Linked DNA regions of Oryctolagus cuniculus. The protein of the gene in region 5 purifies or fractionates together with the protein of the main gene of each other region. This does not show direct contact. Links are inferred from orthologs where the notes say so. Each region holds a gene or a part of one and is shown on either strand. Other genes may lie near its edges. The genes, in order: SMARCD3, ACTL6A, SMARCC2, ARID1A, DPF2, BCL7C and SMARCD2.

Region 1 (4,298 bases), on a different chromosome or scaffold from region 5:
GGCTTCGGCGGAGGGGGCTTGGCGTGTCGCTGCAGGAAGCTAACTGAAGCCAGGCAATTGTCCAGGGCATTGCCGAGCCTGGAGCTGCGGAAGGTACCGCAAAAACGCACAGTAACTGGCAATGGCGCCTTTCCACCTTCCAAAGGAGGTTCACACCCTCACGCGCCTCTGCCAGACTCAGTGAACAGGTCCTCTCATTCCCACTTGACAGACGAGGCAACTGTGGCTCAAGGAGAACGGCGACCTCGCCAAGGTCACGCAGCTCATCTTGGCTAGGACAACACCTGAAGGGCTCCGGGTTCCTGAGGGCCGCAGCGTTTTGCCGTTTGCGGCTTCGTTGAAGTTAGGGGCTGAGCTCCCTGCTCTGACTTTCCTTACGGCTCCCTCCCTCTTGGTCTCCACTCCTCCAGCTGTTCTGCCTTGCACCGGCTCCTCCTCAGCTGCCCCCTCCTCTCTCCACGCCCTGCTTTTGGACCTCTGCATCCCAAACTCCATCCCCTCCAGCTGACTCCACACCCAGAGGCTTCAGCAACTAAGCTGGACCCCAAGATTTGCTCCCCGGGTGAAGGCTGAAGGCAGAGCAAGGGCAAAGGCACCTGAGGGGCTGACGTCACAGCCTGCCAGGATTCTGATTGGGAGGAGGGGGAGCTGGGCTGGAGGTGAGCTACCAGGGGGCCTGGGCCAGGTCAAAGGAAGCAGCGTGTCCACCCGCACCCATCAGCCATCAGCCAAGGCTTCACACCCAGCAGGCTTCCTCCACTGCTCACCCCCACCCCAGTGAAGCCAGGTTTCAAAGAGGGTGGTGGAGAGGGAGATGAGGTGGGTCATGTGCCCCTAGGTGGTTGGATGGGGTGTAAATGAGATGCAAATGAGTGAAGTGCTACTGCCACTTGTCCAGAGTTCAGGAGGGATATGAGGGTTTCAGGGGCTTGTGTAGCAGCAGGGGAGTGGGTGGGATGGGGACTGGGAAAAGCAGGAATCTTGGGGAGCAAGGGGCCCCTGTTGTCATTTATCCACTCCATTATCTCACCCTAGGCCCAAGGAGACGCCCCGATGCTGCCCCTGACTTTGCCCCTAAAGCCCTCCCACTCCCAGCCAGCAGCTGTCTCTGTCCATCTTTCCAGCAGTGAAACCTGCCCGACCATGTGTCTGCCTCCCCCCACCCCACCTGACCCTGTCACTCATGCTTCCAGGGTGGCAACCCAGAATGGAGCTAGCTGGTGACCATTCTCCGCCAGCCTAGATGGGGCACTGGGAGTGGGGATGGTGGGGCGCCGAGCCACCTAAGAACTGAAGCATTAAGTTGGCCATATATATATATATATAGAGAGAGAGAGAGAGAGAGAGAGAGACCCATGTCGAGCCTCTCTCCCTGCTAGCTGGGCCTTTTCAAAGGAACTCCCCGCAGCAGCAAGGCTAGGACCGGTGATGCAGCTGGTGGACATGCAGGCCCTGGAAAGTCGACCCCAGAGATGCCCAGCGCTGGAGGCCAGGCTGACCCAGGAACCCCCTTGGCTTTATCAGCTGGGCTCCCTCTCTGTCAAGGCCAGGGATACTGCCTGCTCTGCTGGGAGGCTTCCAGGGCCCCCAGGGAGCTGTGCCAGCCACCAGCACCACCCCCACAACAGGCCAAGATTCAGGGACTCTGGCCTCCCTCACCAAGAAGGTGCCCTCCTGGGGGGTCACGGCCAAATGTGGCCGCAGTGAACCTGACGTCGTCCCCTCTCGCGTCTCCACACCCAGCGTGGCCCCCGAGCCACCCAGCTCAGGCCTCTTCCGTGCCCTGCCTCGGGTTGCTGAGGCTGCCTGGGGCTTCCCACGTGCCTCTGGGGCTGCCCTGTCCCTGGGATCCCTAGGCCTCACGTCCCCGACTCCGGCCCTTTCTTCACACCTTGGAGATATTAAGGACAGGCGTCTGCCAAGGGGACGCTCGGACTCCTTCCACCTGGAGTCTGTCCCTAGAGGGAGCCTCTCCCTGACCCTGATGGCAGGGGCTACGCCGAAAATGCCCCAGTGCCCTCCTGCCAGGATACAGAGGTTGCTCAGCCAGAGGGCTTTCGCGCCCACAGTGCCTCCAGGGTCACCTGCTCCACGCTCTGGAAACAGAGTGACACCGTCCCAACGGATGTGAACAGACAACCCAACAGGGCTGCGCCGCGTCCCCGTCCCCCGCCCCCACCCCCGGGGAAGGGGTAACACCTGGGCCCGCTGGGGAACCCAGACAACATGTCGGCCACAGAAGGGGACCCCCACCTGGGTGGGGGGAGTCCCCCAGTCCCACGCCCGCCCCTGACAAGAGCCCGCGCAGTCGCCTGCCTTCCCCGCCGCGCGCGCCCATCCCCGGCCCGCCGCCTGACGACGTGTTGGCACGCCAGGGCGCCGGCACGGTCCCGGCGCTGGGCTGTGGCCGCGGCGCCCCCGCCGGAGGGGTGGGCGCGCGGGAGCGCCCTCCCGGCCCCTCCCGGCCATCCCTCCATTCAGCCCGAGCCAGCTCGCTCACCCTCCCCCGCTAACTTTCCCCCACTCACCACCCCATGGACCAGAAACTCAAAAAGTTTGCTTTTCGTGGCTTTGCGCGCCCCTCCGGCAACTTCGTCCGCGGCCATCGGGGTGGGCTCAGCGGCGCCTCTCACTCTCTCTCTCTCTTCCTCTTTCTTTCCCTTTTCTGCCTTTTTTTTCCTCCAACTCTCCCCTCTGAGTCCTGCTGGGCTCTCTCACACTTCTACTCGAGCGGAGTGGGGAGGGGGCCCCTTCAGGGCTGCCCTGACGGCCCACGGCCCACGCCGCCGCCGCCGCCGCCCGCCCGCCGCCGCTGCCGCCGCCGCCGCCGCGGCTGCCGCATTCCTGCACTGATAAGACAGAAATAGTCCGGCGGCCCGGGGTCTGCCTGTTGACTCGGCGGGGACGGGGACGCCGGCCTTTGCAGCCCGCGCTGTCCAAACAGCGCAGATAAGCGGCGAGGTGCGCGGCGAGCCCGGCCCCGCCTGGGCGCAGGGTAGCGGCGCTTGCAGCCCGGAGCCGCCCGAGGGCCGCGCGGGGAGCTGGCGGGGGGCTCGCCGGCCACCCGGGCTCTCGCCACAAATAGCTGCTCGGTTAGGGAATTCGCCGGCAGGGCCAGGCAGGGAACAGTCAGTTCCAACTTTCTTCCCTCCCCGAGAGGCTCCGGCTGCATTTCTGAGGCCCTTTCCCCAGAGACCTGGCAGGCCAAGTAGGGAAACATTCGCGGGCAGGAATCCGGGGGGGAGCCGAGGCCGGCCGCGCCGGGTGTGCCGGGGAGGAGGCGCTCCCTGCGCGCACGGCTGTGTGTGTGTGTGTGTGTGTGTGTGTGTTGTGCCCTTGTCTGGCGGCCGGCGTCCGCACCCTGCGGCCCGGCGCGGCGGCTGCGGGTGTTGACGAGGGCGCACGGACGGACGCCTCGCCCGGGGGCCTCGCTGCGCGGGAGCCGCCAGGCCTGCGCGCGTGCGTGGGGCCGGGACGCGGCCTGCGCCGCGCTCCGCTCCGCGCGAGGCTATTTCTGGGTATGTGGGTCTTTGTTTGCCTCTGTGTGAGAAAGTGAGGGCAGGAGGGCAAGTATTTCGGAAGGAGGGACGGGGACGGGGCTCAGAGAGCGCAGCGAGGGGGAAACGCGGGGCGAGGCGGCGCAGGGCCGGGCTGGGGGCTTCGGTGGGGGCGTCTGGGAAGCAGGAGACAAGCGGGGCTTGAGGGCCTAGGGGTGCGGACCCCGGAGGGGTCGGGCCCGCCTCAGCATCCCAGAGGAAGCCGGGGCGCAGGGTGGGGTGAGAGCGAGCCCCCGAAGGGGCGGTGTGCAGGGAGCTGGCAGTCCCTGGGGTGGAGGAGAGACAGGAAAGAGGAGGGGCGAATCCTGAGATCCCCAGACTGGGCGCCCTGGCCCCGCCCATGCCCCAAGGCCACGCCCCTATCTCCTCCTCCCGGAGGAGGGGCCCGTGGGCTTTGGGACGACAGAGGGTCAAGTTTAAGGGCCTGCTGGGGCTGCGGTGTCAACACAGGTGAGGGCGGGGCAACGGGACACCTACTTGAAGTTGGGCCCTGAAGACCCAGCATTGCCCTGCGGGTCCTGGCCCTCCTGCCTTGGGGAGTTCAGGACAAAGAACGCGGGACAGCTCTGCCCAGACTCTGCCTGCAGCCTGGTTTCCCTTGGGCCCCGACTGCGTGCGGGGCTGTGAGCGCCCATGTAGGTTCCCACTGTCTACTGAAAGGCAGAGAGGGTCTCTGCTTCAGGCTCTACCTCTGGCCTGGTGGGGGGGACCCAGAAATTCCCCCTTCCTACCAGGGCTTCA
Region 2 (3,500 bases), on a different chromosome or scaffold from region 5:
ATCCGGCGCCCCGACCGGGACTAGAACCCGGTGTGCCGGCGCCGCAAGGTGGAGGATTAGCCTATTGAGCCACGGCGCCGGCCGAAAAGCATTTCTTTAACAAAATGTATAGCAACTTGGTAAGAACGAGTAGGATGTGTGATATTTGAGCCAGGGACTACACCCATTCTTAAGTAGCACTGAGGAATCATTTCAGTAGTTTGGCAGTTGAGTGGCAATTCCCACTTCTTCCAACTCACTGGGGTAGAAGAGCTACTCCAGGTGTATTGGATATCCAGTGAATACGACAAGATCCCATTTCTACAGCTGTGTTGCTGAAGGCCTATATCACATGAACACCCTAAACTCATGTTTAGGACCAGGGGCATTCATTTCTTCAAGTACTTATTGAATAATTATTATGTGCCTATTTAGTCTGTTGCACAGATTCCTTAAGCACAGAGTACACATAAAGGTGAACAGAAACTGTCTGCCCTGAAGGATATCTCATTTAGTCAAACAGATCACTAAAGTTGTAAAATGTCTAGAATACCCTGGGGCAGGGGGTATAAAGGAGGGACCACCTAAGCTATTCCTGGGACATCCAACTGTAAACTGGGGATGACACGGGTGAGAATAGGAGCCCATGGGAGAAGAGTCAAGAGAGTACTTGCACTTTTGCTAAAGCCATCTCAGAGATACAGCACTACATAAAAGTGTTAGATAACTGTTAACACAGTGATTCTCAAATGTATACAAAAACTTACTTGAATATGATAGCAAGCCAGGGAGGTATACAGGTTATATGAGTAAAACATTAGTCTCATGTTTCAGGACCACACTTCTGTAAACAGTGGATCCTTAAGTGCAGAGCTCTTTCTTCTACTTCAAATGACTGTATCCTATTATCTTTATAAAGGACTGTCAAGCTATTATATTCTTCCTCTGAACTATCACAATTACTATACAAAAAATTCAGATTAATCAAGTACTTCTTTAAGAATTTTGCCAATGTTTTGAAGTACTATTTAAATCTGTTACAGTACTTAGCTTTTAAGAAGAATATTTAAATTACAAATTCTTTGCATTCAAGACATAATATTTCCTTATCTTTAAAGTGTTTGCAGTAACTTTCTGATGAGTGCTTAAATCTCAAATGAATTTATAGCCAAATTCCAATTTTGTTTGATACTAGAAGTGAGAGAGGAAATGGCAATCTTTGCATTCATTTTAGCTAATATGCTAAAACACTGTTGTACAGCCACACTCCCTTTATTAAAAAAAAAACACACACACACACAAGTTGACAAATATGATCTCAGGGCCGGCGCTGTGGCACAGCGAGTTAACGCCCTGGCCTGAAGTGCCAGCATCTCATATGGGCACCGGTTCAAGACCTGGCTACTCTACTTCCAATCCAGCTCTCTGCTATGGCCTGGGATAGCAGCAGAAGATGGCTCAAGTCCTTGGACCCCTGCACCCATGTGGGAGATCTGGAAGAAGCTCCTGGCTCCTGGCTTCGGATCGGGGCAGCTCCAGCCATTTCGGCCAATTGAGGAATGAACAATTGGATGGAAGACTTCTCTCTCTGCCTCTCCTCTCTCTGTGTAACTCTGACTTTCAAATAAATAAATAAATCTTTAAAAAAAAAAAGCAAATATGATCTGAATGTCACTTTCCTATTTTCTTCTCACATCTTCTGGTATATCATCAGTTTCAATATGAGTCAGACAGCTAAAAAGGAAAGGTATAGAGAAAAAAGCAACTTCCGAATGAGTGAGAATTGGCTCACGTCTTCTGCCAGGACTGTCTTGTATCTTTGGCAGCAGCATATATTCTTCTAGAGAAAAGCTGAGTACTACTCTTTCAAGGATACGCTGTCAGAACTGCAGTTTTACAAAGGAAGAATGCAGGAATGTTGTAGTGTTCAAACATTAACTCTGTTAATTTCTCTCTCTTTGCTCTAGTATTCCACTGAAAAAAAATAAAGAAATGCAAATTACTTATTAAGAATTAAAATGCTGACTTACCTCAAGCTACATTATAGTACTATGTTAGCAAAAATTTAAAAACAATGAAGCATAGTAAATGACCTTTTATAATATCTACATTTGTTGTAAACAAGTATGACAAATCAGATATAAATTAAATTTATTATAATTAGTAAAACTACTATGAATTCCAGAAAGTATAAGCTTTTCAAAAATACAAGGAAATCAGGATTCTCAGAAACAAAGTATTATTAAATCTTAAGAGCATATCTGGTAATCAAAATAAAATATTAATTTTAAAACACCAAACTCTCCCTTTTATAGTTGGTGCTCCCAAAGAAACTATAATTAGAAACAGCAACAAGATATTGATCATGGGGCTGGCGCTGTGGCTCAATAGGCTAATCATCCGCCTTGCGGTGCCGGAACACAGGGTTCTAGTCCCGGTTGGGGTGCCAGATTCTGTCCCGGTTGCCCCTCTTCCAGGCCAGCTCTCTGCTGTGGCCAGGGAGTGCAGTGGAGGATGGCCCAAGTGCTTGGGCCCTGCACCCCATGGGAGACCAGGAGAAGCACCTGGCTCCTGGCTTCGGATCAGTGCAATGCACTGGCCGCAGCGCGCCAGCCGCGGCAGCCATTGGAGGGTGAACCAACGGCAAAGGAAGACCTTTCTCTCTGTCTCTCCCTCTCACTGTCCACTCTGCCTGTCAAAAAAAAAAAAAAAAGATATTGATCATGCTGGTTATTATGCTAGCCTTCTGGGCCCTTTCTGGCTAGGTACTAAATGTATTTCACAAGAGACTTCATAGAAACAGTCGGCCCTTGTTAAGCATCTGACTTCTTGGAGCTTGAGTATAAAAGCAGATTTACAATGACCTTGGGGCATAATCCAGAATGGGAGGCAGTTCAAGAAAATAAATTTTAAATCCATGGAAATGTAGATAACTACTAGGACCCATTATTGTGTATTATAGTTCTCTGAATCTTTTACTGAAATAATAAAAGTTATGATAGTAGTTAGAAATTAATTCCCCCTTCCCTAATTTTCAAACTCAAAATATAACTTTTTAAACTTCTTTGTGGAAAAAGGCAAATATTCTTCAAATGAGCTGAAAACTAAAGGAAAAAAGAACAACTAAAGAAACACGGAAGTGTTTGTCTCACCGGAGCTTCTGACATGAGAACAGGATGCAGGCTGGCTTCTGATTTGACATGCATTTTATAGGTATGGTCCAAAATAGCCTGGAAACTATCCCAGTCTTCAACTAGAATATAAGAGCAAGAGCTTGAAAACAAATGCTTGGCTGAAGATGAATAAAGTATCTTTTGAGAGTGATTCTTTGACTTAGCAATTAATATTTTAATAAATATAATCCACTTTTTTAAAGATTTACTTTTATTTATTTGAAAGTCAGAGTTACAGAGACAGAAGGAGAGGCAGAGAGGTCTTCCTTCTTCCAGTTCACTCCCCAGATGGCCGCATCGGCTGTGGCTGGACCAAGCCGAAGCAAGTAGCTTCTTCTGGGTCTCTCC
Region 3 (3,500 bases), on a different chromosome or scaffold from region 5:
CATATCCTACTTTCTCAACAAATTTTCTCCATTTGACTGCAAAACATAGCAACTCCCTCCAGCCCCAATCATTCCAGGGCTTGAAACACTCACTACCTTCTTCCCTTCTCCAACCAAAAATACCTGTGACTACTCTCTACACTTATATTCACAAATAATTCTTTTTTTTTTCTTGACAGGCAGAGTGGACAGTGAGAGAGAGAGACAGAGAGAAAGGTCTTCCTTTTGCCGTTGGTTCACTCTCCAATGGCCGCCGTGGCCGGTGCGCTGCAGCCGGCACACCGCGCTGATCCGATGGCAGGAGCCAGGTACTTATCCTGGTCTCCCATGGGGTGCAGGGCCCAAGGACTTGGGCCATCCTCCACTGCACTCCCTGGCCACAGCAGAGAGCTGGCCTGGAAGAGGTGCAACCGGGACAGAATCCGGCGCCCCGACTGGGACTAGAACCTGGTGTGCCGGCGCCGCAAGGCGGAGGATTAGCCTAGTGAGCTGCGGCGCCGTCCCCACAAATCATTCTTGTCTGTGACAGGCCCCTACCTCCAACTATGCGTCTGTAAGCTCGCAAAGGACTCGGTTTAATTTTCAGCAAATCACCCTCTAGGGCAAACGTAGAGGGCGTCTGGCCTATGGGCCATAGAAGTCCCGCAAAATCATTTGGTCTGGCACTACCAAGGCAACTGCAGAGAGGACTCAAAATTCAATAAACCTATAGCTGGCTAATCTCTAATAATTTGGTATGGCCTGCAAATGATTTTAGAAATATCCACATGGCCCGGCCCTTGGCCAAATAAAACTTCCCCCATCTCTGCTGTAGAGGAACAGTTATGTTCTTAAACATTTTTGAAAGCATAGGACAGGGCTGGCGCTGCGGCTCCTCCGCCTTGCAGCGCTGGCATACCGGGTTCTAGTCCCGGTCGGGGTGCTGGATTCTGTCCCAGTTGCCCCTCTTCCAGGCCAGCTCTCTGCTGTGGCCAGGGAGTGCAGTGGAGGATGGCCCAAGTGCCTGGGCCCTGCACCCCATGGGAGACCAGGAGAAGCACCTGGCTCCTGCCATCGGATCAGCGCGGTGTGCCGGCCGCAGCGCGCCGGCTGCGGCGGCCACTGGAGAGTGAACCAACGGCAAAGGAAGACCTTTCTCTCTCTGTCTCTCTCTCTCACTGTCCACTCTGTCAAAAAAAAAAAAAAAAAAAAAAGAAAGCATAGGACAGGGCTGGCGCTGTGGCACAACAGGTAAGGCCGCTGCCTACAGTGCTGGCATCCCACTTGGGCGGTTCGAGTCCTGGCTGCTCCACCTCCAATCCATCTCTCTGCTATGGCCTGGAAAAGCAGTGGAGGATGGCCCAAGTCCTTAGGCCCCTGCACCCGTGTAGGAGACCTGGAGGAGGCTTCTGGCTCTTGGCTTTGGATCAGTGCAGCTCCGGCCGTTGCGACCAATTGGGGAGTGAACCAGCAGATGAAAGACCTCTCTCTGCCTTTCCTTCTCTGTGTAACTCTGACTTTTAAATAAATAAATAAATCTTAAAAAAAAAAAAAAGCTCAGGAGAAAACAGTGAAGACCTGACTGATAAGCAGGTAGAAGCCAGAACTCCTCTCAGTGGCTGCTCCAACCCCATCCTGAAATATACTCCTGGAATACCTCAAGCTAGTCTATGGAATACAGATCATAAGCCAGTTTTGCAAAACGATGGCCTCCAAAGGAAAGTTATCATATCAGATGCAAAAATCATCCACTGGAACACAGGAGAGGCCAGAACTTCCCATTGTATTTGTTTTTATTATCCTTTACATTTTTTATTTTTTAGATGTTTTATATTTTTTATTTGAAAAGCAGAGAAACAGAGATCTCCCAATCGCTGGTTCACTCCCCAAATTCCCACAACAGCCAAGACAGGGCCAGGCCAAAGTCAAGAGCCCAGAGCCCAGTCCAGATCTCCCAACTACTCGATCCATCATCTGTTACTGCCCAGGGTATACATTAGCAGGAGGATAGAATTAAAAGGAAATTCTGGACTTGGAACCTGAACTCAGCACTCCAATACGGGATGAATCAACATTTTACCCACCATACCAAACACCCACTCCACATGTATTTTGTAATGACCCTAAGGTAGTGACTGGCTTCATAGTACCCATAAAGAGTATGTGCTCGAATCTATCTTACCAACAGGAGTGTTTAAGGAAAAAGAGTTTGGAGGAGCAGGCATCTGGTACAGTGGTTAAAGATACCACTTGGGAGGGCAGGTGCCGCGGCTCACTTAGCTAATCCTCTGCCTGCGGTGCCAGCACCCTGGGTTCTAGTCCCAGTTGGGGCACCGAATTCTGTCCTGGTTGCTCCTCTTCCAGTCCAGCTCTCTGCTGTGGCCCGGAAGGGCAGTGGAGGATGGCCCAAGTGCTTGGGCCCTGCACCCGCATGGAAGACCAGGAGGAAGCACCTGGCTCCTGGCTTCGGATCGGTGCAGCGCGCCAGCCGTAGCACCCATTTGGGGGGTGAATCAACGGCAAAGGAAGACCTTTCTCTCTGTCTCTCTGTCTCTCTCTGTCTCCTTTTTCTCCGTCTCTCTCTGTCTCTCTCATTGTCTAACTCTGCCCGTCCAAAAAAAAAAAAAAAAAAAAAAAAAAAAAGATACCACTCAGGATACTGATATCCCAGATTGGAGTGCCTGGGTTCAAGTCCCAGCCCACTTCTGATTCCAGCTCCATGCTGGTGTGTACCCTGGAAGGAAGCAGGTGATGGATGGCTCAGAGCTTGGGTGGGAGAGCACGTGGAGAGATCCCATGTGGGAGATTCTGGATTGAGTTCTGAGTTCCTTGCTTCATAACCTCGCCCAGCTGTGGCTGATGTGGGCATATGGAGGAGTGAGTCAGCATATGGAGACTCTTTCTCTATCCCTCTCTGCTTTTTAAACAAAATGAAAATAAATAAATAAAAATTTATGTTAAAAATGTGTAAAGGGGTCATAAAAAAATTTGGAGATTTGGAGATAAGTACTGTCAGGTATAAAGCAGCACAACTCAGATATGGGTATGAAGTTACAGGATTTCCCCTGGTAATGAAAATCCTATCAATAACCAGCTGTTTAAGGGAATTAGCCTGGCCCGGCCCATACCTGTTTTGGGCAGTGTCACCTCTTCTACATTGGGGACTGGTGAGGGCTCATCCATGTCCTTTGTCAGGTCTTCTTGCTCCTCCTCTCTGTGGCCACGCTTTGACTTGGTGTAAGGTGTTGAAGGGCTGGGAAAGAGAGAGTAAAAGAAAATCCAGTCATCCTCGGATGTTGAGGTTCAAGGAAGGGAAGCAAGAATCCCAAGGGTAGCGCTGCAGGGTAACAGGAAGTGGCAGAGGCTTTTCATTTGGTGATGAAGCTCTCTGAGTGAGGTGATGGCTGGGACTGGAACTGTTGGGAGCTCAGGACACCTGCGGTATATGGCACGTCCAGGTCACGGCTGGAAGATTACGGGAAGGACTTGGTCCTTCTTTCCTTCACCCTGGTGTGCAGAGA
Region 4 (4,237 bases), on a different chromosome or scaffold from region 5:
AAACAAAAAACTAGCCTTTTTGTTATTCCAGGAAGAGACAATAATTTCGCCAAAGCAAGCCTTCAGGAGAAAGTCCCTCAACATCATGAAAGACACCAGTTTCTCTTTAAGTTGCTCTCCCGAAGTCTAATTAACAAAAGAAAACTGTTAACAAGATTCAACATGTAAACAAAGAATGAGGCCAGCCTTGCTTAAAACAGAACACTTGAATCTAACATGAAATTCCCAAAGAAAGCTCCCCATTTTAAAAAGGATTACAGTGATAACCAAAAATGCCCCCTCCCCACAAAGGTCCCACATTTGCCACTCAATTAAAAAAAAACCAAACAGCAAAATAATTTCAATTCTGCAAACAGTGTCAGAATTACTCAAGATAAATGCATCTTCACAGTCATCAAAGAAGTCATTTATCCCATCAGGAAAGTCACAAAACCAAAACAAACAGCAAACCCATTGTAGAGAAGAAACTCAGCTACTGTTCGGACAACACAGAATCTATTTCAGGCTGCATAAAATATAACAAGCAAAATAAATCCAAGGTACAAGCAAAATGCCATGGCCTCCTCTTTTGTTTCAGGCACAATGTAACAAGGGCAGCCTGTCTGGGGCTCTGCTCCTGCTGATACAGTATTGCGGCTTAAACCTCCCTCCTCAAGGTCACAGCCAATTTCAGCTCTGGAATAAAAAAGGCTGATAGTGGCAGCGATGGTTTGGGTTATCACTGGCAGAAAAGCAGAGTGTAAAAGTTTATGAGCTCATCAGGATTGTTGTACCATTACATCAGAGGCAATTATAAATGGCCAAGAGCAGGAGATGGGGAGCCAATCAGATCACAGATAGGATGTCAACCTAAGACCAACTGTCTCCTGGCTTTGACAGAAGGATTTTACCTCCATAATTCAAATCCCAAACCAAAGCAATCTGCACTTACTACTCCAATCACTCAGCTGTTTACCAGCGCTTCCAGGGAGAAGCCCAGGCCACTGGGCCGGCGGAGACCAAGACAGGCGATGGCCGGGCTGCCCGGGGTGAACCGCAGCCGGCCTCTAGCTGCCCCCAAGAAGGCCCCTACCCTCCCGCGAGGTCCCCCGGGCCCGAGGGGCCCCTCCTCGAGAGCACAGACGGGGGACGGCCTAGAGACAAGCAGGGGGCACAGAGAGGAGCGGCAGGCGAGCAGGGGGACGCTCGCTCGCCTTCCGGGGCTCCTACCACCGCTTACACCCCTGATCTGAGCCCCCGGCACCCCCTCACCCCAGGCCGGGCCCTTCCCCGCACACTCTGCCCCGCACCCCCCTGAAGACCCGCGGAGTTCGCAGGGGCCAGGGGAGGGGGAGCCGGGCAGCAGACACCTCTGGAAAAGCCCCACACAAAGGCTGAAGGAGGGAAGGAGAAGAAGGCAGACAGGCAGCCATTTTAAGAGAGAAGAGCCAGACAATGGCAGCTCCCCAGCAGTGGGGGCCCGGGACCGAGCGGAGCCCACGGCTGGGGCCTGCTCCCCGCAGCCGCCACCCACCCCCCCACCGCCCGGCCCAGCTCGCCCCAGCCCCCCTCCCCGCTCAGCTGTGTACCTGAGGGGTCCGGGCGAGCGGCTGCCCCCCGCCGCCGCTGCTCCCGGGGCTCATGGGCGCGTGGTGGCTCCTTTGTTGGGCCCCTCCCGAGGCGGCCGCCGCCGCCGCCGCTGCCGCCGCCGCAGCCCCCCAGCACTGCGAGGCTATGTCCGCCGGGCCCTTGCCGGCGCCCCCGTCCTGGGGCCCGCCGCCGTAGTCGCCCCCGGGGTAGCCCTGGTAGCCCCGGGCCGAGCTGGGCGACGTGAGCAGTTGGTTGAGGGTGGGGGTGGCGGTAGGCTGGGGGGTTCCCCCGCCGGCCGCGGAGGGGCCGCCTCCCCCCATGGCCCCGAAGCGCTGCTGAGCGAAGGACGAAGACGACGAGGAGGCGGAGGCGCTGGAGGAGGGAGGCGGCTTGGAGCCGGCGGCCGCCGCCGCGCCGGAGCCCGGAGTGCCACCTCTCGGGGAGCTCAGCGCGTAGGCCTGGGGGGGCGGGGGGTAGGCGCTGCGGTTGGGGTAGTAGGAGTTGTACTGGTGGTTGGGGAAGCCGTGGTCGTGCGAGTTCTGCTGGGGCCCCGCGTAGGGCTCCAGGCCCCCGCCGCCACCGCCGCTCTGCAGCGCTGCCAGGCCAGGGCTTTGTTGTCCGCCATGTTGTTGGTGGAAGACGGCGGCCGCCGCGGCGGCGACGGCAGACGGGCTCCGGCCGTAGGGCTGCCCGAAGCCGTAGGCTGGGGGCGGCAGGGCGGCCGCGGCTGAGTGAGGAGGCGCCCCCACCCCGTCGCTGCTGCTGCCGCCGCCGCCGCCGCCGCCGCCGGGCGGCTCCGTGAGGTTATTGTTCAGGGCGGGCCTAGGGCCCGCGTTCCCGTTCGAGTTCTTCAGGTCCGGCTCCGCGCCGGGCCCGCCGCCGCTGCCGGCTCCGCCGCCGCCGCCACCCCCATTGCTCTCGGCCCCGTCCTGCAGCTCCTTTCCCAGCGGCTGCGGCGGCCCCACGGCGGGGCCCTCGCTTTCCTGCCCGGCGGCTGCCTTCATTTCCCCGCGCTCGGCTGCTGCTGCTGCCGCTGCCGCCTCGCCCCCCGCCTCCTCCCGCTGCTGCTGCTGCTGCTCGGCTTTCTTCAGCTCCGAGGGCGGCGGCGGCGGCGGCGGCGGCGGGTTGCCCAGGCTGCTGGCGGCGGCGGGGGCGACCTGCGCGGCCATGATCCCCGCTGTCTCGTCCGCGGAGAGACCCGGCCCTGTCTTCGTCGTCTCCCCCCCTCCCACCCCGCCCCGGGGCCGAGTCCCCCGGGCTGCCCTCCCCACCCGCCCGGGCGGGCCTCGCGGGGCTCCGCTGCTGCGCTGCGCTCGCTCGCTCGCTCCTCTCCCCCCCGCCCCGCCGGCTCAGGCTCCGGGCTGGCGGCGGCGGAGGAGGAGGAGGCGGCGGCGGCGGCGGCCGAGGCGCCGGCGGCTCAGCTGCTCCCGGCTCTGCAGGCTCGGGACCCGGCTCTCCCGGCTCATTCCCCCCAAGCCCTTGCCTGGGAATGAGGGGGGCGGTGGAGGCTCCGCTCCCCAGGGCCTGGCCCCGCTGTGACTCTCCGCTTTCTGCTGCCGGAGAAAGGAGGAGGGAGGGAGGGAGGGAGGCGAGGGGGAGGGGGCGGGGAGGGAGGGAGGGAGCGGGGGGAGGGGGACCCGGGACGGGCGGGCTGGAGGGCGCGCGGCAGCAGCCGGGGCGCCGGGAGGCAGAGTCGGCGCGCGCGGGCCGGGCCGGGCGCCCTGCCTCCCCTCCCCGGCCGCGGCTCCGGCCGCGGCTGCTGCGCGGCAGCGGGCGGGCGAGCAAGCGGGCGGCAGGACTGAGCGGCTAGAGCGCCCCACTCTCCTCCGAGTCCCCCTCACTCCGACACGAGGCTCAGCACTGCCATTTTACCCAGCGCCGTCGCGGCCGCCTGGCAAACCCGGAGTGGAGCGCGGAGCGGGTGCCGCCGCGGAATGGACTCGCTCCCTTCCCCTCACAAAGGAGGAGGGGAAGAGAGCGAGCCGCGGCGGCGGCAGGCCCTCGGCCGCTTTCGCTCGGCAGCACCGCCGCCGAAGGCTTCGGGGAAAACCCGGCCCGGAGCTCGCGCCCCTCCGGAGCCTGCGCCGCCTCCCTCCCGGCGTGCCGATCCCCGGCCGGTCCCCTCCCGGCCGCACCGTGGGGAGCGGGCAGCGTGAACTTTACCCGCGCCTGCAAAATTGGCCAGAGCCCGAGACCGCGGCCGCCTCGGCCCAGGCCTGACCCCCCTGGCAGCGAGCCTGGTCTCTTGGCTGTTACTTAGCACCTCCACAGCACTTTTCTTCTTGAAAGCCTTTTTACAAACCGGCCCCAAAGACTCAGCCGAGAGAGCCCTGCTTTCTAACCCCTTTGCAAGGGCCGAGCGATCATTGTTCAGACTCTGCGTTTTCCCACTCCCCTGCCCTCATTAGCTGGTCTTGACAAGTCCCCGGGGGCACGAGGTCGGGATTATCCCCATTTTACAGAATTGAAAGACCGAGAGGGGAGGACACTGCCCAGGTCATTTAACGTCGGAGGGTGGGGGGTGGGGGAGCTTTAAAAAGAAGTGGAGTCTCCAAAGCTGCCTCCTGTCTACTTAGCCTTTAAAGAAAAAAAAGTCAAATTGTGAGCAAATGCAGCAATGGGGTCAAAATATCAGAATAGATCCAAACTCCCAGCTCTGTCATCAAGC
Region 5 (3,976 bases):
CCATGGGGTGCAGGGCCCAAGCACTTGGGCCATCCTCCACTGCACTCCCGGGCCACAGCAGAGAGCTGGCCTGGAAGCGGGGCAACCGGGACAAAATCCGGCGCCCCGACCAGGACTAGAACCCGGTATGCCGGCACCGCAAGGCAGAGGATTAGCCTAGTGAGCCGCGGCGCCGGCCAATATATCCCTCTTAAAGTGAGGGCACAGGTGACTTCTCTCCCCAGTCTCCCTAATACCCATGAAAACATCTGCAACACCGTCAATCCGGACTTGGGAATAAAACGGCCTTGCCGGGCTCCAAGTCAGCACGCGAACACGGACACTTAGTCAACCTGCACGAACCCTGCATGGACCTCAGTGTCTCTTCCGCATTTTCGGGAGCTTGCACTCGCTGAGCTCTGACATCCCAGGGACCCACGAGCAGGCAACCCCGGGCGTGAGGAGCTGCACGCGCTACGTCTCCCGGGCTCATGCCCACCTCTGGCGCTACACCAACAAACCCTGCTCTGCAATCGGATGGGGGCTTTCGGTGAGCGGCACAGTGGAGCGTCCCTCATCCCCAGCAGGCAATCGCGGGACGGCATCGCCCAAGCACAGTCCGCCTGGATGCAGGCAAGGACCCTGCGCTGGAGACCTGAGCGGGGCTGGCTCCCATCGCTGGCCGTGAGGAGGCAGCCACGTCCTCCCCACGCAGAGGAAACTGGACAAACAAGGCTCAGTGCAGCGGCTGTTTCTGCTGATGCGACTGACGCTGACGCTGGGAACAGAAGGGTCCGCGGGCCGCAGGGCTCGGGGATGCGTGAGACGCTCTGTCGAGCTCTGGGGACCCTAGGGGACTTCAGAAGCGGGGCAAGCGGCAGTCTTGGGGTAACGGGGCTGGGAAGGACACCGCAGTGGGCACTGTGGGAAGCATCTGACGAGGAGAGCGAGAGATCGGTCTTAGGAACGCAAGGCCGTGTAGCAAGATATCTCACGTAAATTATCCTGCAGCTCTGGTACCTGACTCAGAGAGTTCCCAAACCACTGTTTTGCACCACCGTACTCTCACAGCGAGACCCGAGAGGGGGCGTCCACTCTGCTACCACGGTAGAGACAGAGCACTCACAAAGAGAACACCCTCTCCCCGACGAGCTGCGGGCGGCCCTGACCTTGACGGGGGCTCAGGGACTGCATCTCGGTGCAGGGGCGCGAAGCCTCCTAGGGAAGCCTGCAGCAGTCCCGGCCCCCAGAGAAGCTGGGGTCTCGCTGTCGGCACCCGGAGTCGGCGGCTGATGACCTTCACAATCCCTCCGGTTCTTCCGAGACCTGAAAAGCCAGGCTGCAGCTACGCGGCCGACCCCCTGGCTCAGACGGCGGGCGAAGCCGAGCTGCCAAGGCCAAGGGCATCCTCCCCCTCAGAACCCGGCAAGGCCGCAGCACAGGCTTCCCAGGTAGAAGCTTCAGGAACCGAGCCTAGGTGGGCCCTCCCGGGGGGGGGGGGGTCAACAAAGAGCACGGCGGGCAAACAAAGAGCCCGCGAGTCAGGAAGGCATCAGAGGGAGGGAAACGCCAGCCCAGAGCTGGGGAACCGGCGTGGGCAGATCGCAGAAACCACCGCGTCGGGCGGGGGGCTGGCTCCCAGGGGCAGCAGGACAGAGCAAGAAGCAAGTCAGGAAAAAAAAAACCAAACCACAAGCCAGGGAGAAGGCACTTAGCTTAATGGAACCGGGGAAAGCGCCGCGGGCAGGGGGAGGCGACCTGCTCGGCCACCACAAAGAGGAGACGCGGGGTCCAGAGAGCACGCCCCGCACCTGACCTTGGCGTCCAGCCAGAATCCAAAAAGCCCTAACTGGACGGCCAGACGCGTCCGCGCGGCGGCGACAAGGCCACCCCAGGCTCGCCCACGGGCACCAGCCCGCTTCCCAACGCACCGGACTCTTCCTCGGGGGGCAGGCGGCTGGCTCGTGTCACCAAGTCCCGCAGCATCCCCCAGGTCCCCGACCACCACCCAATTTAGCTCTGCCCGACCCCTGACCCGCACGACGGCTCCGGGTCGCCCGGAGGACGCCCCCCGGCCTGGCCCGCTCGGGCCCCGCTCCCCCTCAACTTCTCTCCCTTCTTCTCCGCGCTGCCTGCGTCCTGCGCACCTGCTACCCCAGCCCCGCAGGGACCGCCGAGCCTGCTGCTCCGGGCCAACGGCCGCGCGTGGCGGGGACTCGCCGGGGCCCCCCGGGGCCTGGGCTCGGCTCCTCCGGGCCGCAGCCTGAGCGCCGCACTCCGCGACCTGCAGGCCCCGCGGCGGCTCCCACACAGCCCCGCACAGCGGCCGCGGGGCAGGGGCTCCCGCGTGCCCCCCGCCCAGGGCCTCCACAAGTTTCCAAAGAGGCGCAACGTCTTCTCCGGAGTCCTCCCCCCCCCCGCGTCGCACTCCCCACCCGGAGCGGCAACCACGGCCTTCCCGGGCCCGTCCCCCCGGCCGCCTCCTCTCTTCCCGCACCGCCCCCTACTCCCAGGCCCCTCACAAGACCTCTCCGCCTGGGAGAGAAAGAAACGACCACTCACAGCTTCACTACATTCTCCACCACCGCCGCCATCTTCCCTGCTCCTCTCCCTCAGGCCGGGAGGGCCCGGAGCCCGCAGCGCGCAGGCGCCGGCGCCGCGGCGGGGCCCCGGGTGCCGCGTCCCTGTGCGCACGCGCCGTGGCTGCTCGCGAGCGCCGGTGCCCCGCCCACCGCGCCGCCGCGCGCGCGCCCTGTCTCTGCGCACGCGCCGCCTGTGCGCGCCGGGGAGCGAGGAGCTCCGGGCCTCTGGGCGGGGGGCGCCCGGCCTTCGGGTTTAGCGCAGCGAGGGAGCGCTCGGGCCGGTGCAGGACCGAGACGGCAGAGGCTGGCGGAAGCCGGGAGGCCCAGAGACGGGCTGGACGTATCCTGGCTCCTCGCCGACCTTTGTGGCTTCGGTTAACGCTTTTACCGCACGGGTGCGGTGCGGTGCGGTGCGGTGCGGTGCGGGCGGCGGGAGGTGAGAGGGGCGCGCCGCACCTCCGGCCCCCTAAGCGCGGGCAGCCTCGGTGCTAGCTGGCGGCCGGGTCTCTCCTCCACCCGGCTGAATGGCGACTCGGGCCCCAGCGGAGCCCTGGAATCAGCTCCCGACGGAGTCGCCCAGGGTCGACCCCAGCAGACTGAGAGACCTGCTCTGTGTCCTGGTGGGCTTCTTGATCGGTCCCTGCTTTTCCAGACCCTGCCCCGGCCGCCTCCCGCGCTCAGGCGCCCCCGGCCCAGCGCCCCAGGCTTCGTCCTTGCCCCTCGCAGCGCCAGTTCCAAGATGCGCCTGGGGCCTGCCCCCACGTGTTAGCATTTCCGAGTGAGGCCGTGTCTTCCGTCCCTGCGATTCAGGACGGTGCCTGCCTGGTCGGAGTCGAGAGGAACTGGCCGTTGCTTACCCTGCACCGCACCTGAGTTTGAGTGGTGTCGCAGTGTGGAAGGGAAGCCGGCACGATCCTGTTACCCAGAGGACTGCGGGGCCCCGGGGGTCAGAGCTCCCCATGCTAACCTCCTGCACCCTAGGAGGTTAGAAGAGCTCGCTTGGGTCCCTGCCACCCACAGGGCAGATCTGGCCTGGGTCCTGGGCTGCTGCTTGCCAGCCCGGGCTGTGGCCGGCACCCGGGACGTGAACCAGCGATGGAAGATCTCTGTCTCTCTGTCCTCCCCCTCTCCGCCTTTCAAGTAAAATTGAATGCATAGTTTGCGAAAGTTCGCCAGCACTAAGCATCCGAGTGCACCTGCCCTATGATCCAGCAAGCCCCTCCCTCTATGAGAACGAGGGATTACCACATCACGAACGAATCTCCAGCACTTAATATCGATCCAGAGAGGCCAGATGCACGAGAACACACTGTACGGGCTCATTTACGTCAAGTTACACAACAGACTCATTATCGCGAGAGGGCAGGAGAGGGGACAGGAGCTGGCACTGGGGGGCGAGGACTGTTATACATCCC
Region 6 (3,956 bases), on a different chromosome or scaffold from region 5:
GTCAAGTGAACAGTCATTCCCTGAGCAGCCACTCTGTGCCCAGAGGTCAGACTGGGAGAAATGCACGCACGTGCGCGCGCGCACACACACACACAGGCAGCTGGACAGAGAGAAAGGGGCCCAGGACCTGGCTGAAGTCCCAGCCCCAGACTGAAGCAGGAACACTTATGCAGGATCTGCAAAGCGGTGTAGCTTTACCAAGAAAAACACACTTCAGACAAAGGGAACGCAGGGTAGTGAGCACAGGTCCTGGAGTTCAGCGGCCGCCTTCAGATCCTGGCCTTGGGCCGGCTCCTTCCGTCTCTTGGGGCCTCTCCTTAGCCATCCATAACATGGGGCCAGGGGTCGCAGTTGGTGCATGACTCTCGGGAGGAGGAGGCGAGGTAGTACAGCTCAAAGTGTTTGGCACCCAGCACGTGCGCCAGAAATGCCAGTTACTGCTTCTCTATTAGCACAGGTGTCCAGGCTCAGCCCCTAGGCCCAAGCCGTGGCTTTGGTGGCGGGCAGGGCACGGCGCACAGGGGGCCCTCAGCGTCCAGCTCAGGGGGCAGAAGGAGCCACAGCAGGAAAATGAGCCCCACCCGGCCCCCCGCTTCAGGCAGAGCTGTGCTACAGCTGCGGGGCGGCTGGAGCCAGGCTGTGGCCTGGGGAGGCCACGCTGGGCGGGGGTGAACTGGAAGAAAGAGGAGCTGAGGAGCCTCAACCTGAAGACGCTGTGTGAGCTCGGGCGACCGACTTAACCTTGCTGATCTGCCTCCTCAGCTACAAACAGGAAGCAGGGCAGGCTAACCCCTCCGAGGCGGCGAGTCAATGAGATAAAACAGAACAGAGTGTTTGGAAGGCACCTGGCACGCAGTAAGAGCTCAATCAATAGCGCCCGTGAGTAGCTTCGTCTTTTAGTCACTCGACAAACATTGATTGAGCACCTATTATGCGTCCCACTAGACTTGGAGGATGCCGTGAACAAGATCGGGGAGGGCCCGACCTCCAGGAAGCCGACACGAGACGGGGCAGGAAGACAGTATGTGAGCAGCAACTGAAATTGATAGGGAAATGCCAGAGGAGACGGCAGGGGCGGGCACTGTTTCCACGGGGCTCATGGGAGAGGGGCAGGTAGCGGGGTGAGCTGCTGGGCGCAGAGAAGGGGGCTCTGGGTGGCACCTGATCCTACCTCTCTCTTGGCCCAGCCGTGGGGGCTGAGCCTCCTCAGGGACCCCTTCCGGGGCTCCGGCGGGTGACACAGGGCGGCTGGGCTGTGGGGTGCCCCCGGGGCTGGGCTCGGTACCCTTGTGCAGGGAGCCTTCCGAGTGGAAGCTCTGGTTGCTGTTCTCATCTGCAGAAACAAGAGCCCAGAGGGTCGGCCTGAGGCCCCCAGGCCCCTCCTCCAGGTCCCACAGCCACCCCTCCCCGCCCCCGGCAATGCCTGGGCCCCCACACATACCATTGAGATCTAGCAGGATGAGCGGGCCGCCCCCTCGGGGACTGGCACCCCTGCCTCGCCGCTCTCGGCCACGGGATCGCTCTGCCCCGCCACCTGCCCGCCGCCGCTCCTGGGGGTGACAGGGATGAGGATCAGAGCCAGCGTTTCCCGGCAGCCCTGGCAGAGCCCCACGGGGACAAACGGGGAAACTGAGGCACAGAGAAACCCAAGGCCCAGCCAGAGGTGACAGAGGCTGTGCGTGCTGGGTTAGCCTTGCAGGGGGGGGGTCTGGAGCAGGAAAGGGGGAGGGGGAGGGGCAGCCGAGTAATCCTGAACATCTGGGCTGCGGTAGGCACTGGAGGTGGAGGCCAGGGTGGGGAGGAGCTGGGCTGAGACTGCACAGATGCAGGGTCTTGGGGGGTGGGGGGTGGGCTTGCTCACCTCCTCCTGGGGGTCCACCACCGGCACCCACTTGAAGATGCGAAGGGAAGTGTCGCCCACAGTCACCCAACGCTTCTCCCTGTGGGAGGGTGGGGTGCTGGGTCAGAGAGGCCTGAGGGGAGAGGCGCCCCCCCCCCCCGCGCGCACCCGCCTGACCCGCCGCCTCCGCCTCTGCCCCAGGTACCACATCTGCAAGGTGGGGGAGGTGCACGAGGGTTGGGGCGGTTTTGCGAATGAGGCACTGTTGGAGAGAGCGAGCCCAGGGCAAAGATGGGGAGGGGGCGCCCCGGGCACGCCTCGGGGCCATGGCTAGGGCAGAACCCCTCCGGAGGGAGGGGGCCATCCCTGGGGACGCAGCTCGGAGCCCGGGCCATACTTGCAGGAGTGTCAGAGCTTCAGGGGGCGGGGCACGGACGAGGGCTCCCGCCCGGCGAAGGCACGGCTGGGGACCACGCTTTGTAGACCTCCGGGGGTAGCCCGGGGAAGGGAGACGGAGCCCTGGGGATCCCGCGCACAGCTGGTGGCCGGGGGCGCACCTAACACCTGGGGGGCGCAGCTGGCGAGGGGAGGGGAGGCGCGCGAGGGGGCGGTGGTCCCCGCCAGGGTCCCGGCCCCGGCCGCGGGGCAGCGCTCACCATCGCCGGACTTTCTCGATGGTCGCCATCACCTTCTTGATGTCATCCTTGGCCCGGCTCCGGGTCTCAGCCCGTACGGTCCGGCCGGCCATGCTGGCGGCGCTGGGGCCGGGGCCGAGCCCGCGGCGGGGCTGCCTCCCGTCCGGCGGGCTCAGGCTCGGCGCCAGGCCGGGGCGCCGCTCTCGCCGCCCGCCGTCCCCTCCGGGAGTTGGCCGCGCCCTCCCTCGCTCCCCAACGCCTCCGCGAGTCCCCGCCCCGCTTCCTGCCGCCGCGCCCCGCCCCGGCCCGTCCCCGGAGCGGCCGGGCGGCGCGGGTGCCGGAGCCCAGGCCTGGAAGCCGGGCCAGCCCCGCCCCGCCCCGGGCCCGCCCCTTCGGGGGCGCCCGGACGCGCAGCGCCCCCTGTCCGCCGCCGAGAGCGAGCGAGAGTTGGGGGCCCGCTGGCTCGGCGACTTGGACGCGCGCGGCTCCGCCGAGGCGGCGCGTCCAGACCACGTGGGCGCTCGGGTGCACGAGAGGGTCTGGGTGCAGGTGTGCGAACCTGAGACACCGTGTGTGTGTCCCCGGACACCCCCTCCTCCCTCGCCGGGCTGGCTGATTCTACGCTGCCCAACTTAATTCGTTCACCCATTCATTCATTCAACGATCTAGCAGCCCAGTGCCAATTACGCGCCACAGCTGCACACATGAGTGAGTCTCCACCCCCCAGGATGGCTATAGCGAGAACGACAGGCCATACCGAGTGTGGGCGGGCCAGCGGAGCCGCGCGGCCTCCCTTCTGTTTCTGGGGGAGTGGGAATTGGTAGAGACTTTCCCATGAAGCTGAACAAAGACCAGCCCAGGAATCCAGCACGTCAGCACCCAGCAGAAATGCTTAGACAGGAGCACCAAGAGCCGTGAGCTGGGATGTTCACAGCCGCGTTCTTAACAGCCCCGAACCGTAAACGGCTTACCAAGAGGAGACTGGGAAGTGGGTTGCAGCTATTGATACCCAAGACAGAGACCCAGCGGGCAAGAATGCCCGCTGTCCCACTACACCCAGCGACGGGACAAGTCTCCCTCAGCAGATCTTGAGTTTAAGCCAGATACACCACCTGGTTCTATTTCTATGAAGTTCGAAAGCAGATAGGAAAATGTCAGGATTAGGAAGCCGGGAGGGTGTCTCTTTCGGGACTGGGAGGGGTCCCAGAGGGGCTTCTGGGAACCCATCATGTCTGTTTCCTAATGTGGCCCGGGCTCCCTGGGCAAAGTTCCTCTGAAAATTCATCAAGCTGGGCGCTGGGGATGTGTGCGTTTCTCCATCTGTGTTTTGCAGTTGACTCAGAAGTTTCCTTGCAGAAAATGATTGGTTGATTCGAAGGCTCCTTTATCAGCAGATCTGATCGTGTCTAAATCGGTGCAGCTGTGTGTGGCTGTCCTGTCTCTGACCCTGTCCAGAGGGGTTACAGGATTGGGAAGACAGC
Region 7 (3,049 bases), on a different chromosome or scaffold from region 5:
AAGATCCATTCTCGGAAAATGAACCTGACCCGGGGGATCAACCTGAGAAAAATTGCTGAGCTGATGCCAGGAGCGTCAGGGGCTGAAGTTAAGGTGATCAGAGACTCAGGGAAGGAGGGCAGGGTAGAAGTTCTGGGCCCTGGGGCCCAGTGGTAGAGCCTCAGCTCCCTTCCCCTGTTCAGGGTGTGTGCACAGAGGCCGGCATGTATGCCCTGCGGGAACGACGAGTCCATGTCACCCAGGAGGACTTCGAGATGGCAGTTGCCAAGGTAGACGCCTCTGACTTCCTGCATTTGCTATTGATGGCGCTGGAGCAGTGGGCCAGGGCCTGTGCTCATTACCGGATTCTCTCTCTCAGGTCATGCAAAAGGACAGTGAGAAGAACATGTCCATTAAGAAACTATGGAAGTGAGCCCTGCATCCTTGGTGTGGACCCCTCAAATAAAGCTCTGTAGGACAAGCCTCTCCGCTCTGTTCAAATGACCAGGTCTGGGCACCACCAATAAACAAAAGGATTTATTTGGAAATTTCCAAACCTGCCAGAAGTGGCACTTGCCAAACCCTAGGCCCACCCTCCCTACCAAGCTCCAGAGGGCAGCAGAGGGTCCTGGCGGGCCCGCCCCGCCCTCCGGCATCCTAGGAGATGATGGCGGCTGGAGCCGCTTGCATAGATTCAGGAAAGAAAGGAAGGAGGCACCAAACAGGGCTCCCTGAAAAATCCCGACATACGCCTGTACAAAATAAGTGGCTCCCACATAGAAAATCCTGCTCCCAAATAGTGCAAATACCCAAAGGAAAGGAAAAAACCAGCAACACAGCTGGGCTTCTAGGAATGACAAAGAACTTTGGTTTCAGGAGGTTAGGAAGAGTCTGGGCTGCCCCTCATCTTCCTTGCCCAGCTCCCCCAGCCAGCTCTCCCGCTCGCCTGGGGAGGGGCCTGTAAACATGCAAACCCAGCGCCTTTGGTTCCAAAACAAAGCACAGCCTCCAGGCCTGCCTGCAGGGGGCAGAGGAGACATCCTGCGAACCCAATTAAAGCCAACATGGAAAGTAAGGAATAAGGCTTTGGGAACCAAGCAACAAGGAATCCTACCACTACATTTATGAAACTAAAGTTGGGGAGTAGAGTGACAGACAGCCCTCGCCCCCCAGCCAGGCCCCGGTGGATGGTCCCCTACTAGGCTCCCGGGGGGAAGAAGGAAGCGATCCCTGAGCAGTTTAGGTCAAGCGGATTCCCAGCACCTGTTCCAGTTCCTGCCGCCGCTGCTGCACCTAGAGGAGGAGGAGACCATGCTCAGGCCCCTGCTGTTCACAGCCGAGAAGGGCAAACAGGCAGTGCCTCACCTTGGCAAAGATGTGCCTCCCCACTGCTTCCTGGGCCCAGGGCTGGTGGTAGAAAGCAGCTCGCCTCTCCTCCTCGGGATTGCCAATCACATCAGTGATGATCTGCCGAGAGCCAGGAGGAAAGCAATGACATTGGTCTGATTGCCCCTGGAACTGGGGGGTGGGGGTGGGGGGGACCATCATGGGGGCTTCCCCTTCAGGAAGGAGGACTACACCTTGAGGTCCCGGCGCTGGGAACGGAGCCACTCCTGGATGAAGTCCTGGGGGTCGGTGCTAAAGCTGAGCATGAAGTCCCTCTGGGTTTTCAGCTGGTTGATGGACTCAATGGTCTCATGGATCTGGGAAAAGGGGTGCATGTGTCAGACTGGCCCTCAGCTTTGGGGGTCTGTTCCCAGGCCTAAAGTTGAAGGGCGGCACCAGAGAGCCCATCCTGCAGGTGCTGCAGGCACAGAGGCCAACAGCTGCCTGCCTGCACCTGAGCCACACAAGCTTGTGGAGGCGGAGGGCCCACCTTGACATCAAGGGATGCGATTTCCTGCTGATTGGTGGTAGAAGCCAGAAAATTGCTCATCTGGGCTTTCAGTGGGTCGTCCACTTCCACATCTATGTCATAACAGGCCGTCTTCTTCTGGTCATTAGGGTCCACACTGAGAGCACACAAAGGGAGGGGGTGTCTGTGCTGTCCCCCTGGGCCACACCAGTCTATACACACACTTGGGGAGCAGGAAACCAACCCGTAGCGTCTGTGGCTTCAGATGAAAGCAGAGGTGAATCTGCTTCCCATCCCCCTCCTTCCAGTTACCTAATGACGTGGTTGATAACAATGGGATCTGGATGCTGCAGCAGCCCAGCCAACTTCATGGGAATCTCAGAGAAACGGAGTCGGCCACAACTGAAGATCTGGAGAGGGGGAGAGAGTCCCGAAGACTTGGTGATACCTGAGGGTTTGACGGGTTCTAGGACCACTGGGCTGCAGGGCAGCAGCCTCCGGGCAGGGGCTGAGAACAGGATGGCAGCATCCGGCTAACCTGGCGGAAGTAACGGTTGCAGTTGATGTACTCGCGCTCGTGCCCATCCTGCAGCTGGTTGTGTTTGATGTAAAGCCACAGGGCCTGCATGATGGCAGCCCTGGTCTGCGTGTGCACTCCTAGCAGCCTTGCCAGTCGGGGGTCCAATTTGTACTGGGGAGGCTGGAGAAGAGGGAGGGAGGGGGTGGTTCTTGTAACAGGGCAGGGACAAGAAGGGCTCAGAAGCGCCTGCTCCCCTCCCATGCCAGTCCCCAAGGCCCAGCCATACTCCGGGCTTCTGTCACCTGATGATCCAGCATGAGCAGGAGGGTGCACTTCACATTGAGGTCTCCAGGCCGTTTCACCTGGAAGCCATCTGTCTCCTGGGTGGTGGGCATCCGGTGCCACTGGCAGGGAGGAGGGAAGCGGCTGAGCATAAGGGGTGACCATGAATAAACTCCTGGTCCTCCAAAGGCACCGAGGCCATTTCCCTGCTGGCGTGCCAGCCCCAGGCTCCTTCTCACCTCCACCAGGTGGTTGTCAGGCCCGTACAGCTCCTTGTCCAACTCGATGACGAGGCTCTTAAAGAATGAAGAGAACTTCCTCTTCTGTTTGCTAGGCTGGGCATGGAAGAGAGCGTGAGGGCGTGCTGCTGGGTTCTCTGACAAACTATGCTAAGTGCACAAGGAGGAGCAGTT

What was found.
Region 1: the proteins of DPF2 (region 5) and SMARCD3 purify together in Homo sapiens (affinity purification with mass spectrometry; 3 studies listed by BioGRID and IntAct, counting the BioPlex papers as one, with this or other methods). This does not show direct contact. The link is inferred for Oryctolagus cuniculus from reciprocal best matches to the Homo sapiens genes DPF2 and SMARCD3.
Region 2: the proteins of DPF2 (region 5) and ACTL6A purify together in Homo sapiens (affinity purification with mass spectrometry; 5 studies listed by BioGRID and IntAct, counting the BioPlex papers as one, with this or other methods). This does not show direct contact. The link is inferred for Oryctolagus cuniculus from reciprocal best matches to the Homo sapiens genes DPF2 and ACTL6A.
Region 3: the proteins of DPF2 (region 5) and SMARCC2 purify together in Homo sapiens (affinity purification with mass spectrometry; 8 studies listed by BioGRID and IntAct, counting the BioPlex papers as one, with this or other methods). This does not show direct contact. The link is inferred for Oryctolagus cuniculus from reciprocal best matches to the Homo sapiens genes DPF2 and SMARCC2.
Region 4: the proteins of DPF2 (region 5) and ARID1A purify together in Homo sapiens (affinity purification with mass spectrometry; 6 studies listed by BioGRID and IntAct, counting the BioPlex papers as one, with this or other methods). This does not show direct contact. The link is inferred for Oryctolagus cuniculus from reciprocal best matches to the Homo sapiens genes DPF2 and ARID1A.
Region 6: the proteins of DPF2 (region 5) and BCL7C purify together in Homo sapiens (affinity purification with mass spectrometry; 4 studies listed by BioGRID and IntAct, counting the BioPlex papers as one, with this or other methods). This does not show direct contact. The link is inferred for Oryctolagus cuniculus from reciprocal best matches to the Homo sapiens genes DPF2 and BCL7C.
Region 7: the proteins of DPF2 (region 5) and SMARCD2 purify together in Homo sapiens (affinity purification with mass spectrometry; 6 studies listed by BioGRID and IntAct, counting the BioPlex papers as one, with this or other methods). This does not show direct contact. The link is inferred for Oryctolagus cuniculus from reciprocal best matches to the Homo sapiens genes DPF2 and SMARCD2.

The regions. Positions count from the first base shown.
Region 1 is NC_091438.1:22,579,621-22,583,918, reverse strand, and holds the start of SMARCD3 (SWI/SNF-related matrix-associated actin-dependent regulator of chromatin subfamily D member 3), read right to left. Parts: upstream 2,801-4,298; 5' UTR 2,607-2,800; coding exon 2,529-2,606; intron 1-2,528. UniProt on the Homo sapiens protein: Involved in transcriptional activation and repression of select genes by chromatin remodeling (alteration of DNA-nucleosome topology).
Region 2 is NC_091435.1:100,236,305-100,239,804, forward strand, and holds part of ACTL6A (actin-like protein 6A), read right to left. Parts: intron 3,233-3,500; coding exon 3,132-3,232; intron 1,954-3,131; coding exon 1,856-1,953; intron 1-1,855.
Region 3 is NC_091442.1:58,981,423-58,984,922, forward strand, and holds part of SMARCC2 (SWI/SNF complex subunit SMARCC2), read right to left. Parts: intron 3,233-3,500; coding exon 3,108-3,232; intron 1-3,107. UniProt on the Homo sapiens protein: Involved in transcriptional activation and repression of select genes by chromatin remodeling (alteration of DNA-nucleosome topology).
Region 4 is NC_091438.1:144,806,946-144,811,182, forward strand, and holds the start of ARID1A (AT-rich interactive domain-containing protein 1A), read right to left. Parts: upstream 2,801-4,237; 5' UTR 2,739-2,800; coding exon 1,569-2,738; intron 1-1,568. UniProt on the Homo sapiens protein: Involved in transcriptional activation and repression of select genes by chromatin remodeling (alteration of DNA-nucleosome topology).
Region 5 is NC_091432.1:6,292,617-6,296,592, forward strand, and holds the start of DPF2 (zinc finger protein ubi-d4), read right to left. Parts: upstream 2,801-3,976; 5' UTR 2,574-2,800; coding exon of another isoform or gene 2,542-2,573; intron 1-2,541. UniProt on the Homo sapiens protein: Plays an active role in transcriptional regulation by binding modified histones H3 and H4. Is a negative regulator of myeloid differentiation of hematopoietic progenitor cells. Might also have a role in the development and maturation of lymphoid cells.
Region 6 is NC_091450.1:6,250,678-6,254,633, reverse strand, and holds the start of BCL7C (B-cell CLL/lymphoma 7 protein family member C), read right to left. Parts: upstream 2,801-3,956; 5' UTR 2,589-2,800; coding exon 2,497-2,588; intron 1,941-2,496; coding exon 1,862-1,940; intron 1,551-1,861; coding exon 1,442-1,550; intron 1,334-1,441; coding exon 1,172-1,333; exon of another isoform or gene 946-1,171; intron 856-945; exon of another isoform or gene 1-855. UniProt on the Homo sapiens protein: May play an anti-apoptotic role.
Region 7 is NC_091448.1:14,883,575-14,886,623, reverse strand, and holds the end of SMARCD2 (SWI/SNF-related matrix-associated actin-dependent regulator of chromatin subfamily D member 2), read right to left. Parts: intron 2,972-3,049; coding exon 2,876-2,971; intron 2,759-2,875; coding exon 2,657-2,758; intron 2,535-2,656; coding exon 2,373-2,534; intron 2,245-2,372; coding exon 2,147-2,244; intron 1,992-2,146; coding exon 1,856-1,991; intron 1,683-1,855; coding exon 1,560-1,682; intron 1,447-1,559; coding exon 1,345-1,446; intron 1,273-1,344; coding exon 1,219-1,272; 3' UTR 501-1,218; downstream 1-500. Other genes in the region: PSMC5 (26S proteasome regulatory subunit 8), read left to right, coding at 1-93, 183-269, 359-412. UniProt on the Homo sapiens protein: Involved in transcriptional activation and repression of select genes by chromatin remodeling (alteration of DNA-nucleosome topology).